Saccharomyces cerevisiae S288C: one gene and its partner. The gene in region 1 interacts genetically with each later gene. Each region holds a gene or a part of one and is shown in the gene's direction. Other genes may lie near its edges.

Evidence for each region.
Region 2: mutations in THI2 (region 1) and CMC4 together harm fitness more than expected from each alone (negative genetic interaction), as found in Saccharomyces cerevisiae (one large-scale study listed by BioGRID).

The regions. Positions count from the first base shown.
Region 1 is NC_001134.8:699,968-703,763, reverse strand, and holds THI2 (Thi2p), read left to right. Parts: upstream 1-1,921; coding exon 1,922-3,274; downstream 3,275-3,796. Other genes in the region: VVS1 (Vvs1p), read left to right, coding at 1-1,175. UniProt on the Saccharomyces cerevisiae protein: Positive regulator of thiamine biosynthesis.
Region 2 is NC_001145.3:651,866-654,619, reverse strand, and holds CMC4 (Cmc4p), read left to right. Parts: upstream 1-1,732; coding exon 1,733-1,772; intron 1,773-1,844; coding exon 1,845-2,026; downstream 2,027-2,754. Other genes in the region: ICY1 (Icy1p), read right to left, coding at 203-586; 60S ribosomal protein eL36 RPL36A, read right to left, coding at 2,710-2,754.

The DNA.
Region 1 (3,796 bases):
GACTGTTTGGGTCGTACTACGCCGGTAACTGGGCCAACCGATACGGAAGAAAGTACGTGAGCATGGGCGCCTCGGCCATGTGCATGGTTTCTTCTCTGCTGCTTTTCTTTTCCAACTCCTACTTGCAGTTGCTATTTGGCAGGTTCCTGGTAGGCATGTCCTGCGGCACCGCCATTGTGATCACACCCTTATTTATCAACGAGATTGCCCCCGTGGAGTGGAGAGGCGCTATGGGATCTATGAATCAGGTTTCTATCAATCTAGGTATCCTGCTGACCCAAACCTTGGCACTCAAGTACGCAGACTCCTATAACTGGAGGTGGCTTCTCTTTTCCGGATCCGTGATTGCGGTAGCGAATATTTTAGCTTGGCTCAAAGTGGACGAATCTCCAAGGTGGCTGGTGAGCCACGGATTCGTCTCGGAAGCTGAAACTGCTCTGTTCAAGTTGCGTCCAGGAACGTACCAACAAGCGAAGCAAGAAATTCAGGATTGGCAGCGTAGCCATGGGCACAACCGCGACCCGGAGTCAAGCGAAGAGACTCATTCAGGACCCACACTATGGCAATATGTTACCGATCCCTCATACAAGAAACCGCGCACAGTTATACTCGCCATCTTGTCGTGCCAGCAATTTTGCGGCATCAACTCTATTATCTTCTACGGTGTAAAAGTGATCGGCAAGATTCTACCGGACTACTCGATTCAGGTAAATTTTGCCATTTCCATCCTCAATGTCGTTGTCACTCTAGCAGCATCTGCGATCATCGACCACGTCGGGCGCCGTCCATTATTGCTTGCCTCGACTACGGTGATGACCGCCATGTCGCTGCTGATCAGTGTAGGTCTCACCTTGAGCGTATCCTTTTTACTGGTCACGGCCACTTTTGTCTATATTGCCGCATTCGCCATCGGTCTGGGACCCATCCCCTTCTTGATCATTGGTGAGCTATCCTACCCGCAGGATGCCGCTACAGCTCAAAGTTTTGGTACTGTGTGCAACTGGCTTGCCACCTTCATCGTCGGATACCTCTTCCCGATAGGCCACGGCCTCATGGGCGGCTACGTATTTGCGATCTTCGCCGCCATCGCTGCCATGTTTGCTACATATGTGTACAAGCGTGTACCCGAGACAAAGGGCAAGACTACATACAGCGAGGTTTGGGCTGGCTACTGATCTGTAGCCAGTCATATATACCTAAGCAACTATTTTTTACTTCTTTCTAGCTATTCATCTGTTTTTTATTTTCTTCTTCTTCTAGTAACGAACGGCTACATGAGTATATGCACTCATTTAGTTAGTATCTATGTATATGTACGGAACTAGGCAAACCAAATGGATTGCTGTTGTATGAGATCCGTGTGGCGGAAACCATGACTACCGCTTGTACTGCCGGGGCCAAAATAGCACACGCGCGTCATGAGTCGCTCACGGGCGAGCGTCTATCTGCATATTTTCCTGAGCCCAATATTCGGTTCTGCGTCTTAGCGGCATAAATGCATCCGGCAGGACTGCCGAGAAAAGGAATATACAATGGCAGCCCTCTTGGCGCATTTGATGTATGCGGATTTCCAACCAATCTGCGAATGCATCCGTGCCAAAATGAAACGGCATTTAGCTTGAAAGAGTCGGAATTCCTGCATCAGATGGGTACCATTTTACCACAGTCTTTTGACTCACGCAGAGTACTCGCGTGCAATTGCTTGCAGGTATAATATATACATATATATATATATATATATATATATATATATATATGTACAATTTGTATGACAAGTGGGTGCACCTTTCTCGGTCGGAATTATATGGGGAACTAATACTACGGGTTAGAGCTATAACAATTTCTGCACACTTTAAAAGCGTTTTCATTTCATTTCACCACGTATATATATAGCCTATATATATATCCGCACTAGAACCAAATGGTCAATAGTAAGAGGCAGCAGAGAAGCAAGAAAGTAGCGTCATCCTCCAAAGTGCCCCCCACCAAGGGGAGGACATTTACTGGGTGCTGGGCATGCAGATTCAAGAAACGCAGATGCGACGAGAATAGACCAATCTGTTCACTGTGTGCCAAACATGGAGATAATTGTAGTTACGATATCAGACTTATGTGGTTAGAGGAGAACATCTACAAAGTACGCAAGCATTCACTGATCAGTTCATTACAGGCTCGCAAATCGAAATCGAAACCATTGTGCCAGAAAATCTCAAAATCAAGGTTTAAACAAATGACCCATTTTAGACAACTATCACCCCCGACAAGTGACTGCGAAGACAGCGTGCACGAGGCAAGTAAGGAAACTACGCTTCCTAACGATAATACATTCACCATAAGCGTACGGAGATTGAAGATATACAATAACGCTGTGGCCTCTGTCTTTGGTAGCATGACAAATAGAGATTATACTCAAAAGCGCATAGACAAGAAGTTGGACGAATTGCTTAATATGGTGGAAAACGACATATCTGTGGTCAACCTCAATTGCTCCAAACACGGGCCTTACTCAGTTTTCAGGGCCAATCCGGCTGCAGTTACCTCTGCTCTTACAGATCAGCTGCCGTCGCCGGGTCATTCGATGTCGTCAGCAGAGGAAACCACTACTGCAGCGCTGTCATCGCCGCCAGAAGACAGCACCTCTTTGATCGATATTATCCAAGGCAAAATTTTCGGGATCCTATGGTTTAATTGCTACGGGAACATGATATTGAACCGACAAGAATACACGACGTGGTTCATCAATAAGATGAGGAACTCGTTGACCACGGAATTCATACGCTTCCTTGGGAAAATAATTGACGACCCGGACATCAATATGGCCTCGTGCCTGTTCAAAGAGTGCATCGCTCGTTGGAGTTGTGTCGATTGGCAATCCATAGCTATAACAATGCTGGTCATCATTCATGGATATACCTGCCCCAACTTGACAAAGCTTCTAAGAGTGTGGTTTCTCCAGCAAAAGCTATTGAGATTTTCGATGTATCCGCTGGTCAACTTTATCATAAACAATACACAAGATTTAGACGTCCTGTACCATTGTAATGGATTGCTAGGGAATGCCGACTTATTCGAGGATCCCTACCAGGACGAGCTTACGTCGGAGTTACATGTCTTGGTCACGGAGCGCCTAGTGAATAGTTGGAAAGATACAATATTGCAACAACTTTGCTCATGTCAAGATACCACACTTTCATGTTCCCAACTGCGGTACTGGCAGCTACAACTGAAGTGTAATCAACAATTTTACAAGGATGTATATGCCATGCAGGACTAGGCTTATTGAGCCTTCCCTTCACTCATTTCAAGAAAAAAAAAGCCAAAAGCTTTGCTTGGATATTATACCCATTTTTAACGACATATTTTTTCCCACTACTTTAGATAGAAATTCATGATATTTTGTTTTATATTATATATGTATATATATATATGCACGAAAAAAAATTAAAGTTTATCACTGGGAGATAGGGTTTCCTATCTGCCAGGGTGAAACGTTTATTTTACTGATTTCTTTGTCTTTACTGACATTTATCGGATATCTATCTATCATTCTGAGCCTATGCTTTTTGTTAGCCGTAGACTAAAAAAAAAAAAAAATTGAAGGAAAAGAAATGAAAAAAGCAAATGAGTTGCAATTTTAGTATATTGTAAAAGAGTAACCACATAAAAAAACTAAACAAGAGCCGGTGCAACGGCATTACTCTCTTAGATAAAATTGCTAGTTATATAAAGTCAGGATACTCTTGAGCTATTTTTATCATTTCTTTTGGGTACAACAGACACACGAAGGTATAAAAAT
Region 2 (2,754 bases), on another chromosome or scaffold:
TGAGCTCTCCTTTCAATGGAAAAGGAACATCACGTGAAGCGAACGCGTATGAAGAGGAAATCAGTTAGTTGATGTTTGTATGGGAATATTGTCTGTTGGAAGTTTATAGAAACAATAATGCGTGTGTATTTATGTATGTTGAGTGCATATATATGTAGGTAGATTGTTTTTTTCTTTTGATTATCATTCCTTAATCGTTATTCTAAAATGAAGACAGCCACAATCTGTAGTTTTGTTGGGCGGCATTGGCATAAAGATCGGTCAATTTATCACACGACTGGGTAGTTTTGGCCGCGACGGCCATGCGACAATCCTGGACGTTATTCATGGCTTGGTGTTTGTAGTTGTTTTCTTGAGGGTTATCTAACGAGAACACAGTCTCGTCCGAGGCAGAACTTGTGTTCAAATCGAACTTCCCGGTGTCTCTCGGTACCACGAAAGGACCATTCAAATTATTATATTTGGCATCTTCCGAAGTATTGAGTGAATAATGCTCACCAAGTGACACATGCTCGGTAAATTGATAATTGGCAAAAGATAAGGGAAACACCTCATCGTCTAAAGGAGTGGCATAGTTTGAAGACATTTCTTGGTTTTATTGTATGTGTTATATGAGAAATTCAATTCTCCTTGTCATTAGTTTGTCTATCTATATATATTAACAAACAGGCTAGTGCTGAATGACTACGGAAAACAAATATTACATGCAAAAATTTTTGACAATAATGAGTAAGAGGCACATGCACTAGAGCATAAAAATTATGAACGTGTCTAGCTACATATATATCAATTAAATTAGTCTATCCGCGTAGCCAAGAAAACGATAACAAAGGGTACTTTACCCACTTGAAGGTGTCATTAACGCTGGTATGATAACCCGCTATCAAGCTGCATAATCTTTCTCCTACTATGCGCGTCTTTTGTTTTCATTTCACGGAATGACTCTTCCGCGGAGATTGGGCCGCGCCAGAAAATTTTTTTTCATCCGCTTCAGTCATTTCTGTCTGTTTTCTGTGCGCACTCTACGCTGATCGCTTGCGGCGGTAAAATTCCCCTGATATCCACCAAGGTGCTGAAAATCGAGCTACGGGGCGCTCTTGGTACGGGAATGGCAACAGAAAGAGCAGCTAGCTCGAACAGCCAGCTCTTTTTGAGGGGGGTAACACGTATGCTGGCAAAGGGCACAGGGTCTTATTACCCCTCCTTTGGTACGGTGGTCACCACAGTAGCAGAAGCGCTCGGATCATCGCTTCCACGTCATGCCCACGTTTCGTTTCCATGCGGAAAAATGCCCTCCTTAACATGACCACTTTGGGGGTTTTTGTATATTGTTTCTTAATTGCTGATTTGTGCAGTATCCTATCGTTCGTTCTTCACCCCTCCCCTTAAACCTTGCTAGCGTTTTGATATTTTTTGTTTCCTGTCACGTTCAATACTACAAATTACACATCTCAATCGGAATCGCGGGCGCAGAGTTTTTCCGATGTTGCCCGTCGCTAATATTTGGCGACTTTTGCACGTGAACGACGTCCCCACAATAAATTTCGCAAGGAGCGGGCGTGCGTTGTTAACGTCATCCGTTAGCGAGACTTTTACGGATATTACTTTTCACCCATGGGGTGTATATGAGAGTTCAGAAGAGGGTGTGGAGAGACAGAATATTACTGTTCTTTTTTTCCAAGATATTGAGCGTTTTTTTAGTTGTTGAGATTTGTTCAAATAAGAGGTAAATATGTCTAATCCATGCCAGAAGGAGGCCTGCGCCATCCAAGGTTTGTAATATTAACTTCAAAAGATTCGATCGTTTTTTTCTTTTCACTAACGTTTTTTCACATTAATTTTAGATTGCCTTCTATCACATCAGTACGATGATGCTAAATGCGCTAAAGTTATAGATCAGCTGTACATCTGCTGCTCAAAATTTTACAATGACAATGGAAAAGATTCACGGTCACCCTGCTGTCCGCTACCTTCGCTTCTTGAGTTGAAGATGAAACAGCGAAAGCTTACACCAGGGGACAGTTGAGGCTTCCAATTGGCCCTTCTTTCTACGTATGTATGAACTAGCAATTGAAAAAAAAAAAAAGGTATGTGCGTGAAGAGAATCTAATCATAAGTACATTATTCGTACTTCCAGGGAAGATCCACTCACTTTCTTTATGAAAAAGAAATATATTTATCTAAGATCAACCGCGAGCACGACAGTGAAATAGTATTAGTACTCCACCGTATAGTAAACGATTAAGTAAACTATATACGTCCACCGCCTAAAAAAACTGTCGAAACAGAATCTCTAAAACCAAGACGAATCGTGACTCTGGGTGTCTATTATAAAAGACATTATTACCCTTTTTCAAAAAACCAAAAAAAGGAAAAGAAAAGATTTTTTAAATACCAATAAAGATTCTTGCACCACAGGAACTTCTTCTAAACTCACCGCTTTATATACCAGAAAAAGATATAACGGTACGAAGAAAAAATAATATTCATACTTTTCGGGTAACACTTATATTGCTTCAGAAAAAAAATGTAGGGTTGGTAACGACTATCAGCTCAGTACATGGGCTTTTTGCATGGCTAGTGGTACTTTACTCTAGGCCCTCTCATGTGTGAAAGTATTGGTGGTTTTTTTTTTGGTGTTATTTTTTCCTAAGTTAAAAAGAAAATATGATATCTATATATATATTACAAAAATCAGTTTTTAGAAACTTAGTGACGACGAGAAGCAGCAATGATGTTGTTCATTTCTTCGAC